3 linked regions of the Cricetulus griseus genome follow. The protein of the gene in region 2 interacts with the protein of the main gene of each other region in a pairwise test. Links are inferred from orthologs where the notes say so. Each region holds a gene or a part of one and is shown on either strand. Other genes may lie near its edges.

Region 1 (4,307 bases), on a different chromosome or scaffold from region 2:
GGTTTAAGCTGGGCTTAATGGGTGCAAAGGACAATTTCTACCAGACAGTCCTGAAGAATAGACCGTTCTCATGCATTCCAAAAGCTCAGTCTCCATGGAGGAGGCTACCTGGCCACAAGCATTTCCCAAGAGGGAATATATCCTCTACTCCTCCTCACTGGGAACCCTCCCTCCGTCCCAAACACAACAGACTGAAAACCATCCTGAGAACTTGGTGTTGGGCTGGGCTTTTCTGGGATAAAGGAAAAGAAATGTTAAGAGGGGAGCAGGAGGGTGTGAGAAACTCTTCGTCTCCAAATGGAAAATAAGCCTAAAAAACTGGATCAAAAGAAGGAGGGAGTTGGGGGGAAGGGCTGCTTAATTACAAAGACACCCTTTTAAAGAAGGCACAGGCCCTGGGAGAGAGCTCTTAGGAGAGGCCCAGAAGCAGATGTACCCACTTAGAATGCTGGCTCTCAATGGGACGTCAAAGTCAAAGTATCCATCCCTCTGTCTTCCTATTAGCATTCCAGAGTCTGCTTCATTCTATACAAATATAGGATGGAGGAAAATCAACCTTAGAAAATGCCTCCGTTATTCATTAGTCTAATAAATCTTACTTTATCGATGAAAAAATAATTACACTTTAAGGTCCAAATCTCAATGTCAAATGTGAATTGCTAAAATCTCTTTCTAAACTATTTTTCCTCCAGTAAAGGCATTTAGGAAGTCCATGTAAAACTTACTGTACATACAGGTGGAGTTACGGGTTAACTTTGCACCTAGGCTGTGAATTAGAAGAAAAAAAAACTTTCAATTTTACAGAGACACAAACTTTTCCAAAGAAAGAAGTAACTTAAAATGAAGTATGATGTAGAGCCAGAAATTGCCTGTAAATGACACCAGGCAAACCCATACAGAATAGTTGGAACCTGAGTTATCATCTGTAAATAGATGTAACTACTCTACAACCACCTGGCTATTAAAATGTCCTAGGCCAGCCTTTCCCTCCCAGCTGATCTGAAACATGATAGCCTTTAAAATTGTCACCATGTAACTTTGTAACATCCCTTCTCTACCTTCTTAACTTTTCAGCCCCCACCCTCACCCCAGTTAAAATCAACTAAAGAAAATTCGTTTAATATATGTGAGTGATTTCTCCCCTAAAGAATAAGCAATAGATTGGGAAGATCTCAGTATCAAGTCTTTCAACACAACCAGTCTCATAAGCTTGTGGCACTTGCCCAACCTAAGAGAGGTAGGTGATAGGTGGACAATTTACCCCCTGTCCAAAATGGCATTTCTGACTATTCTTAGCTACTGAATGAGGGTACTGAAAGGTCTGAGGAGGCTTCACAAAAGCTGGCCTGAAGAAGAACGTTTCCCATGGTCAAACCCAAGACTTCACAGCCTTAGCCCTTCACCACTAAAGATTACGTGTTTAATTCTTTCTACGTAGGAGGAAAAGTTTATATTCATAGTTTTAAACTGTCTGACATCTACTCTTCATGGAGGCAAGAGATAATAACAGAAAGGGCTTTCTCAAATCTGTCCCGTTCACCTTTCATTAATTTCTATTCAATCTGTTGCTGCAAATTATTAGCACATTATTTATTAGCGGCAATCATCAGGGATCGCTCGCAGTCTATAAAAGCTGCCGTTTTCCCTCTTTCTTTCCCTTCTCCTCATTTTCACCTATCTATGAGGATAGTCTTGCTGTTGATGAACTAAAGAAGCCAAGGCTCGGACCCTAAAACAAACACTTGCGTGATCTTGCAAAACTACTTATTAAGATCTTCGGCTCTTATGAAGCAAATAACGGCAGTCTCTGCCTCCTGAACCTCACCTCCACCACCATCACACACAGCTATACATGCGTGCATAAATCTAGTAGCTGTGTGGTGCATTACTTCCACATTTTAAAACTTGAAGAATTCATGGCCCTGGGGTCAGGGAGGGTGAGCTCCCAACCCAAGCCTAAGCACTTAGATGAAAGCCGTCTCGCTATCTGAGATAAGGGCAAACCTTCAGGCAGGACTAAAGCTAGACAGACCTAAAAGTCCCTAACTTAGTTAAGGTCTTTAGTTCCTTAAGTGATAAATTCAGTGGGGGACCTGCAAGAACTCAGGGAGGAAATAAAGGAACACCAGGAGTGGTACCTTTCAGCATCTCCTCCTTGAAAGTAGGAGAGGAGTCCATACTTTTAAACTGTTTGAAACTTCTTGCATATCTTAAAAAACCCAAGGCCAACAGCAAAGAATGTAGAACATACAGGCAATCCCCACAGGCACATATAACAACCTACTCACAAATAAGGGCATGATCAAGTTCTCAACACCACAGACTATTGCCCCAGTTCCCCGCAAAAAGTAACGACGTTTCTCCTACCCCCGAAGGCAATGAAGACAAGGTGACGACTCTCTCCGCTGGCTCAAGTGGCTTCGGTCCCGGGCCAGAGGCCAGGGATGGGTAGGGAGGAAGCCGCAGGTCCCGGCTACTCCCCACCTCGCTGCTCCCTTGGGTCTCTCCTTGGTGGCAGTGGACAGGCAGGCAGGATACCGGGCCGGAGGGTGGAGCAGCGGATAGTGGGAGGCGAGATCGGCTGGAGGTGGTGGTGGTGGGGGAAGGCGATGAGAACTAAGAGAAGAGAGGAAAGAGAACGGAGATGGAGGAGTAACTCAGGGGTCTACCAGCGAACGCAGCCCGAAAGCTCCTCGGAAGGAAGGGGCGTGACTGCGATGAAGGCAGCTCCTGAGCGAAGGATGGGAGGTAGAAGAGGGGGAGGAACGGGTGCCTTTTCTTCTGGCGGTGAGCAGCTAGGACCGCCCAGAAGGAGGGGGGTGGAAGATGGAATGGGCAGGGCCGAGGGCGGGGCCAGCAGGGCGGGAGGCGGGAGGGAGGCCAGCAGGACCCTGGCGGGCAAAGGGGAGGAGGCGGCGCCCCAGGAGGAGAGGCGGACTTTGGGCGGGGAACTTTTAAACAATTGATCGGCTAAGCTTGGGAATCAAGGAGAGAGCTGGGATAACTCGCTGGCCCTCCTCCTCCCACGCGCTGGACGGTAGTTCCGATAGTGCTTTGCAGGAATTAAAGCGAGAAAAAGAGAGGCACGAATGTTTTTTTTTGGGGGGGGGTGTTTTTATTTTCAAAGACTTTAATAATCTACGGCAACAGCGCAGCAGAGTAGCGTGGGAGAAGTCAGCACAGCTTCCGCCTCATCCCGGGAGGAAGAAAAAAATGTAGCAATGTAGAAAAAGCAGCATCAGCCAAAACCAGCTTCACAAAATTCAGGAAGGAGCCCCTCTCCTTCAAACCCCCCGCGGACCTTGTTTCCTTTGACCAACTGGCAGCCTACTCAGTGCAAAGTCAGCAAGATCCCTCTCTTCCACCACCCTATCCCCACCCCCAACCACCCCACCCCCAGCCTCAACCTTCTTACACCTTCCCCTGCCTCCTGCCCCAAATCTCGACCAGGGTCCTTGCCTCTTCCTAGAGGCAGGCCACTAGGGCACCAGGGGATGGGCGGGGCTTGGAGGAAGCTCCGCCTCTTGGAAAGGCTGGGAGTGCTTGCCTTGGCAGAGCGGGCCTTGAATAGGTTCCACCCAACATTCTTTTGCATCTATTCATTGGCCAGTTATGCCTGCTATTGACCTACGATTGGTCCTTTCAGTCGCCAGTCCGATACTTTGATCGCACCCGCCCTCAAAATTAATAAAACCAAACAAGAGACCATTGTCTAGCTCTCTGTGCTTCCCGAGCCTCTGCTTAGAATGGATAGATGAGACGGTTGACTTCTCAGTCTTGTGAAAGGGTGCGACAGTGTGTTTGCCAACTGGGATATAACTTTATATTTAAAGCACTGTACAACTCTCCGGGAATACGTAATTTTTCCCTCTCAATTCATTAAATCAGGAAAGAAAAAGTACATGGAGTGTCAGTGTGGTGCTCACATTTTCTGGCTGTGAAAAAAAATCATATTGCTCAAGTACATGGGGAATTGAGTACAGCATCGTGGAGGGGTTGGAACCTACAATTTAACATCTGGGTAAAAGAAAACACAAAGAAGCAGTAAAGTGGGAGCAGAAAAACAAGGAAGTAGAACTAAAGGAGGAATTCACTGTGGGCTCTGGCACACATTACCTAGCTGTGTGACTTTCAACGGACTTTAACATTTCTTATCTGTAAGAAAATGCTGTAAGGCATGTGCTGGGTTCTTAGTGGGACAGATGTTAAAATAAAATGAAATGTATGTGAAAACTCTCTGAACCACTCCACACTTACACGACACACATGCTGGAGCTATAACTCATCTGTTTCAAGCATTTCTATAC
Region 2 (4,144 bases):
ATTCACCTCCGCTTCCGCTCTGTGCTTCCCTGCCCCTTCCACGTCCACCTCTCAAACCTTCATCTCTTCATTCTGCTTCTTGAATTCTTCATCCTCATCAGAGTCACATTCTGGGAACTGGTATATGTTGATCTCCTCCTCCTTCAACTGGTCCCGGATCTCAGGGCGGAGAGAGGGAGAAACTGAGGTGTGACGAACCGACATGGCAAGGGCAGAGATAGTGAGGGACAGAGAGATACTGGGTAGTCAGAGAGGAAGAAAGGTGTGAACAACAGATGGTGAGAGGTGGCCACACAAGATGACCAAAACCAAATCATCTGAGACATAATGGGGAGGAATTCAGAAAGTCAGGACAGACATCAAAATATCCGGAGGTGGAACAGGAGAAAGCACTCTTAAAGACAGCGGGCAGGGAGTTATCACTATCACAGGACCAAGAAGTTGCCAGGAGTTGTGATGGCCACCCCTTTTTTCCTCAGACTGTCCCTAGCCAAGCATCTAGTTCCAAGGTTGTATAGTTTATTCTGTACAGAGCTGTTAGAGACATGGCTGCTTGTGACAGGCTCATACACCCCTATACTCCCCTCCCCTAGTCTAGCCTAATAGCTCCTGCTCTGAAAAGGCCACCCCAAGATAAAAAAAAGTCACAGCTTTTGTTTTCACTTAGTGCTAAAGGTCAGGTCTCACCCATACCTTCTGCTTGAGGACCTGAGTCTCCCTAGGCATCAGGGCATCTGCTTTGGCGATGACTGGGATAATGTTGACCTTTTCATGTACTGCCCGGAGGAAAGCCACATCCAGGGGCCGAAGCCTGCAGCAGGGATTTATCAGGCTCAGCTCCTGAGTGCAGAGGTTTATACTCCCCCACCCCGGTCACTTGCCCCCCCCCCAGGGTGCCCTCCAGACCCTCTGCCAAACGGTGAGATGAAGTAGAGGCAGCAGTGGACTCTGGAGTCCTGGATGTTCTTCCTGTTGAGGCCACTCTCATCCCTGAGGTATTGCTCAAATTGTTCCTCAATGAATCGGACCACAGGCAGCCAGCTGGCATGTGGGGAGAAGATGTATAGTCTAAGATCACAGGGCAGGGGACAGAATGAAGCTAGCCAGGCCTGTTGGGTGGAAAGTAATTTCTTTAATTCCAACCAAAGCCATCAGGGGCAACTGGTAAGGGCTTGGGATTAGACTTCCAGAAGCAAAGTGGCTCCACACTATAAGCCCAGCACTCAGGAAGCTGAGGCAGGAGGATTGCCACATTTGGGGCCAGCATGGCCTACACAATGAGTTCCAGGCCAGCCTGGGCTAATGTGACACCATCTGCAAAAGCTGGGGGTTGGAGTGGAGCACTGAACCAGTCATGGCATATGTCTGCAATCCTAGAAGAACTTCCAGTTTGAAGCCAGTTAGGGCTACATGGTGAATTTGAGGCCCCTGAGCTACAGAGAGAACCCTTTTCTCAGAGGAAGAAACACTGGACCCTTTGGGCCAAATTGTTTGCTTCTAGAAACAGGTGGCTTTAGGTCAAGGAGCCATGGCAAACTAGCTCACAAATGAACCCTGGTCTTCCATAGTGGAAGAGAAGCCTAGCTCTTATCTGTCCCCCGCCTCACCAGTCTGAGCAGTCCACAGAGTCCCCAAAGCCAGGGGTGTCCACCAAGGTCAGCTTCACCTTGATTCCCCCCTCCTCGATCTCCACAGCCCGGCGCTCAATGGTCAGAGTTTGTGTGGTGCGCGCTGTGGATACAGAGAAGCTGCTGCGAAGGCTCTGAGGGGGACCCCATTCCTAGCGACGCAGCTGCATCTCATCCCCCACCCCCACCCCCACCCCACATCCTCAGTGTGTATTTCACGGGAGGAAACAGTCTCAGAGAAAACCAGTGACCATCCAAGTCCCCAGACAGAAAGAAAGTATGTAGCCTCATCACACAGGAAGAGAGAAGACAGACCAGCAGCAAGGGTGGGGAGTCCGCAGGGGTGAAGGTGGGGGCAGATCTTACCACTGGCATCTGGCACCTGCCGATCTTCGTAGAGGTTGGTGAGGAACAAGCTGTTGATGAGGGTGGATTTCCCGAGGCCTGACTCCCCTGAGAACGGGTCAGGCCTACTAGTCAGATGAGAGGGCAGCCAGGATCCCCGGAGTACATCACTACCCCCCACCCCAGTCTCTCTCCAAAACACACGGACCTGCCACCATGAGTGTGAAGTCAAATCCCTTCTTGACAGACTTGCGGTGCAGCTGATTGGGGAGGGCAGCAAAACCCACATACTCTTTGTCCTGTGGGTGTAAATGTAGATAGCAAGAGGCTCCTGGACATGGCAAGGAGTGCCCGGTACCACCTGAGCCCCAAAGCTAGGAAGTCAGCTTACTATGGGTTGACTTTGATTTGGGGACCCTCAGGGGAGAGGACTGGGCCCCAGTTGCCTAGATTCCTGGGCCCAAGAACTCACCATGGCTCTGCTGGTCGTCTCTGCACCTGGTGTTGCTCCCCACTTCCTCTGGTGGGGCAGGAAGTTGAATGTATCAAGACTAGCGGGGTGGGGAAGGCAGGGGCTGGAGGGGCAGTTCAGGAAGCTGCGCGGCTCAAAGAGACGCTACATTCTCTTTCAATTCAAAGATTTTACTTTTAATTATTTGGGCATCGGGGATAGTTGCATATGAGAGGAGGCCAGAGTCACCGGCCTGGACCCGGGGGTCAGAGGTGGTTGTGAACTGCCTGGCATAGATAATGGGAAGTGAATTGAGGTTCTCCGTAAGAGCAGCGCATGCTCTCATTGATTGAGCTACCCCTACAGTCCCAATGCATCTTTTTTCTTATCTCCATGTATATAGATATAGATATGTGTGTGAAGAGATATAGACATATGTATATGTGCCTGCAGGCCAGAAGAGGGCGCCAGATCTCATGTGGTGTCTGGGAATAGAAATCAGGTCCTCTGGAAGAGCAGCCAGTGCTCTCAACCTCAGCCCTCATTTAAAAAAAAAAAAAAAAGTTTTTATAGCATGTATTGATCATGGGTTTCATTATTAGATTTCATGCTTGTACATGTCTTCCAGCCCTAACAAGGCACCCCTGTTCTGCCCTCTGTTCTGTCACAAATGTGACTTAATGAGGCCATGAGAACACTTCTTCAGTAGTAACTGCTTAGGCTTTTTGCACTGGTGTTACCTTCACAAGGCACAATATGAAAGCAGCCATACACATCACTAGCCTGAAGAAGAAAAGGGAAGTCCATCACCACAGGTGGCTTGGTGTATCCTTTTGTGTGAGTTAGTTAATGTGTTTGCGTTTACCTATTTCTATCTTTTCCAGGTCTTCTAGGCTTAGCGGTTGATACTGGTTTACTTTATCAACTTCATCATCATAACTAGGGAAAGGGAATAAAAAGAGAGTTAAAAGCAAATGTTTGTTTGGCTTTGACTCCAAAGCTGAGGTACTATATAACAAGCTACATATAATTAAAATAAAATCTTCCCAGCATGCATTCTAGCAGGTGGATCTGTGTGAGTTCCAGACAAGACAGCTGAAAAACTTAAAAGTTAGGAAAGAAATATAGCCCAGAAACTGACCAAGGCTACTACTATGACTTAGTGCCTGGAATTTACCAGCCACCAGCAATTACTCCCTTACAAGGCCATAAGATAACTGGGTACCAAGAATTCCCAGATGGCCAACCTCCCCGAGGGGCTCATGAAGGAAACGGATTGCCCCACTGGCCAATGTGTCAATCATTAACAATTAAGGGTCCCTATGAAACAAAGAGATAGCTACCATTAGTTAGCACATCCTGAGGTCTGCAGGTTTTACAACTGGTGGGTCAGGAAGCTATCTGATTCCCAGGCCTCCCCTCAAGACAAAGGGCTTCCTAGGAACCCATGACTCTGGTCACATATTCAACGGACAGAGAGTCGAGGCCCCTCCCTAAGCTTATGGTTTTTGCCTTTAAAAACGCCTGTGCCTGGGGGACGGGGCTGCTCTCTAGCCTGCATGCTGAGAGAGCCCGTTTGTACAAACGTCCACCTTTTATTAAAGCCTCTTGCTGTTTGCATCAAGTTTCGGCCTCCTCCTGATGATTGGTGTTATTCTTTTGTTTAAAAAGAAGAAAAGAGAAATATTGAGACAGACATATTGACTATAAGTTTATTATA
Region 3 (3,762 bases), on a different chromosome or scaffold from region 2:
TACAATTTATTAGAATATAATAAAGAAATAGACTTAATTGTGGCATTTTCAAACATGTATACCATTACACTTTTTTAAATTCATGTGCATGTGTACAGCCACAAAAAGGTCAGATCCCATGGTTGTGAATTTGCCTAACCTGAGTTCTTTGGAACCAAATCTGAGTTCTTAAGTGCTGAGTCCAGCCCCATAATGCTTTGTTCTATTCACCCCACTCCTCCCTAGCTTCCTCTGTCCCCTTATGCAAAACTTTCAAATTTAAGTTGGACACAGCAGCCCAACAGGAGGAAGAGAGTCCCATGAGCAGGCAAAGGTTTTACTTGCATCACTGTGTGTCCTGGAACGTGATTTGTAGTCCAAGATGTCCCAGACTTATGGTGATTCTCCTGACTCAGCCCCCTGAGTGCATGGACCAACATGCCAAGCTAACTTGGGGTTTTTGGCTTCATAATGTTACCAAAGTATAACCACTACTTTTTACTCTCAAAACAGTATTCAAAAACATGAAATATTTAAGACTTTATTATAAAATATACTTTGTGCTACATAATTTTTCTGAATTTTAAGATAGGCTAGACTAAACATGTTTCACGGATTAATGCATTTTTGACTTACGGTATTTTAAAACATTTGGCAAATTGAAAGAAATCAGACTCTATGGCTCCTTAAAATTCTGACTGTGTATATGTGTGCCACATCCATGCCTAGTGCTACGGATGGTTGTAAGCACCATGTGGTATACTGTGAACTGAACTCCTGGTTCTCTGGAAAAACAGCCCTGCTCAGCCATCTCTCCAGTACTGTGTTTTTTTTGTTGTTGTTTTATATATGTTTTGTCTGCACATATGTGCACCACATGTGTGCATGGTTTTGCCTGTGGAGGTCAGAAGACAGGTCAGATTCCTTAGAACGGGATTTGGGGATGGTTGTGAGCAACCCTCCCTCCCCCCAACACATACACAAATATACAAACAACAGAGACAAAAATGAAGAAAGCAGTCTAAAGGGCAGAGGGAGACAGTACCCTCCTAGAGTGGGCCCGCACCCAAGGGTGAGCTGCGACCTGGGCCAGGGGCAGCCGATCTGAGGGTTTATGCTTGAGCAGCTTGGAGATGAGGTCCTGGGCCCCCTCAGGTACAGAAGGAGGGAACTTCAGGTCCACCTGCAGAGGAAGAAAAGAGAAAGGTTTCACCTGTGTTACCCTGACTACATTTTCCTTGACAACTCAAGAGATTTTTGCAACCCCCAAAGGAGGCATTATTAACAATGGATGGCTGCTGAGGGAAAGAAAGGAAGTCATTTTCCTTTGGGAGTGTGGGTACAGGTAGGTTGCTGGCAGCACTAGCTGGTCTCAGGGGGCTATAAAAAGAAAAAGGACATGACGGTGGGTGGGGCATGTGTTGGGAAAGGAGTCGGGGTGGGTGATCAAGGTGCATTTGTATGAAGTTGTCAGAGAATAAGTACTGCTCATGAAATAGGGAGACTGTGCAGAGCCCTATAAATCTACCCTGCCCACCCCAGACCCTGGCTTCCACAGCACACAGAGCCCAGGCAGGTATCCTACCTTGACAATCCGACGGTATGTCTCACTGTGGCTAGGGCTCTCAAAGGGTGGGTTCCCCACCATCAGTTCATAGCAGAGCACCCCGATGCACCACAGGTCTACCATTTCGTTATGCATGCGCCCCTCAATCATCTCTGGGGGCAGATAGTCCAGGGTGCCACACATGGTCTTCCTCCTGATGGGATGAGAAGTGGGTAGGGCCTCGAAAAAATCAGCCTCTCTTTTCTCTTTACTTGATAGTAGGCAGCTCAGAGATCCCAGGAAGGTCTGGCCACACTAATGGATTATCTTAATTTTTTGTTTTTTTGAGACAGAGTTTCTTTGTGTATAGCTTTGGAGACTGTCCTGGAGACTGTCCTGGAACTAACTCTGTAGATCAGGCTGGCCTCAAACTCAGAGATCTGCCTGCCTCTGCCTCCCAAGTGCTGGGACTAAAGGTGTGCATCACCACCGCCCAGCTATCTTAATCTCAATAAGTAAAAAATAAATAAAAACAATCAGAGATGAGGGCAATGCTCATTTCAAAGAAGAAACAGAAAACATCTCTAATATCCACCGAATATACACTACTTAAATAAGTCGGTTTATATTTTTACTGTGCAATACCAAGAAGTGTTAAACAATGATCAGGTCACCAGATACTGTGATATACACCTCTAATCCCAATCCTTGGCAAGATTTTTGTTTTGTTAATATTGATACAGGTTCTCTCTATAATACAGCCTTGGCTGGCCTGGAACTCACTAAGTAGACCAGACTGGACTTAACCTCAGAGAGATCCACCTTCCATTGCCTCACTAGGGCTGGACTGAAAGGAATAAGCCACTACCTCTGGCTTAATTGGACATTTGAGGTAAATTGTCAGTCTGAGGCCAGGTAGGCCTACAGGGTAAAATCTTGTCTAAAAACTGTAAAGAGAGCCGGGCGTTGGTGGTGCATGCCTTTAATCCCAGCACTTGGGAGGCAGAGGCAGGCGGATCTCTGTGAGTTCGAGGCCAGCGTGGTCTCCAGCTTGAGTGCCAGGATAGGCTCCAAAGCTACACAGAGAAACCCTGTCTCAAAAAACCAAAAAAAAAAAAGCCCAAACAAACAAACAAACAAAACTGTGAAGAGGAGGTCTGGAGAGATTTGTCGGTGGTTAAGAGCACTGATTGCAGGACCAAGGTTCAATTCCCAGCACCCACATGGCAGCTTACAATTATCTGTAACTCCAAGATCTGACACCCTCACACAGACATGCATGCAGACAAAACACCAATGCACATAAATTATTAAAAAGAAGAGGCCAAGCAATAGTAAGCACACCTTTAATCCCAGCACTCAGGAAGAAGCAGAGGCGGGTGGATCTCTTTGAGTTTGAGGCCGCCAGCCTGGTCTACAAAGTGAGTTCCAGTATAGCCAGGGCTACTCAGAGAAACGCTGTCTCAAAAAAAACCAAACAGTTAAAAAACTGGGAAGCGGTTCTGAGGGATGTGGCTCAGTGAAAGAGCATTTTCCTAACATAGGCAATGCCCTGGGTTCCATCCTCAACACTAAAACCAAACCAAATCAAATAAAATGTGACCTTGGTAACCAGGCATGTCAGCGTATGCCTGTGATACCAGATACTCATTTGCACCTGGGCCTTTAAAAACAGCCCGGGGAACTCGGTGAGGCCGTATCTCCTTAGAATGAACAGGGTCGGCAGGGGTAAACTTGACATGGTGATGCTTGCCTGTAACTCAGCTATGTTTGGAGGGTGATCAGAAATTTAAGGTTATCTTTGGCTATATAGTGAGTTTGAAGTCATTCTGTGCTACATAGGACCCTGTTTCAATCAATCAATCAATCAATCAATCAATCAATCAATCAATCATGTGGGAGTTTCCACAATGATATGGTAAGAGAGGGCCCACTATATTTCATAGAAAGAGTAGAAAATTTAGAGCATGAATTATTGTGTTACCTATTTTTGTAAAGACTTTGCTACATCTATATTGCATGGAGACAAACCCCATCTCAAGGAACAACTTGCAGAAGAGCTGTATATCACAGCCTCACACGAGGGACAGCCCCCGAGCCCCACCATACCTCAGGGAGGGAGCATGCACAGACCAGCCAAAGTCCGCAATCTTCAGTTCGCCCTGGAGACCTAACAGCAGGTTCTCAGGTTTTATGTCCCTGTGAATCACCTTCTTCTTGTGGCAGTACATCAGTGC

What was found.
Region 1: the proteins of Septin1 (region 2) and Amot interact in binary tests that used the Homo sapiens proteins (3 or more experiments, as listed by UniProt). The two-hybrid records come from large-scale screens. The link is inferred for Cricetulus griseus from reciprocal best matches to the Homo sapiens genes SEPTIN1 and AMOT.
Region 3: the proteins of Septin1 (region 2) and Aurkb interact in binary tests that used the Homo sapiens proteins (3 or more experiments, as listed by UniProt). The link is inferred for Cricetulus griseus from reciprocal best matches to the Homo sapiens genes SEPTIN1 and AURKB.

What each region holds. Positions count from the first base shown.
Region 1 is NC_048604.1:35,432,133-35,436,439, reverse strand, and holds the start of Amot (angiomotin), read right to left. Parts: upstream 2,802-4,307; 5' UTR 2,368-2,801; intron 1-2,367.
Region 2 is NC_048596.1:73,555,293-73,559,436, reverse strand, and holds the start of Septin1 (septin-1), read right to left. Parts: upstream 2,802-4,144; 5' UTR 2,449-2,801; coding exon 2,446-2,448; intron 2,273-2,445; coding exon 2,182-2,272; intron 2,082-2,181; coding exon 1,995-2,081; intron 1,732-1,994; coding exon 1,608-1,731; intron 1,042-1,607; coding exon 907-1,041; intron 812-906; coding exon 694-811; intron 160-693; coding exon 58-159; intron 1-57. Other genes in the region: phosphatidylinositide phosphatase SAC2-like, read right to left, coding at 3,267-3,363. UniProt on the Homo sapiens protein: Filament-forming cytoskeletal GTPase. May play a role in cytokinesis.
Region 3 is NC_048600.1:82,925,180-82,928,941, reverse strand, and holds the end of Aurkb (aurora kinase B), read right to left. Parts: coding exon 3,635-3,762; intron 1,740-3,634; coding exon 1,565-1,739; intron 1,163-1,564; coding exon 1,001-1,162; 3' UTR 505-1,000; downstream 1-504. UniProt on the Homo sapiens protein: Serine/threonine-protein kinase component of the chromosomal passenger complex (CPC), a complex that acts as a key regulator of mitosis.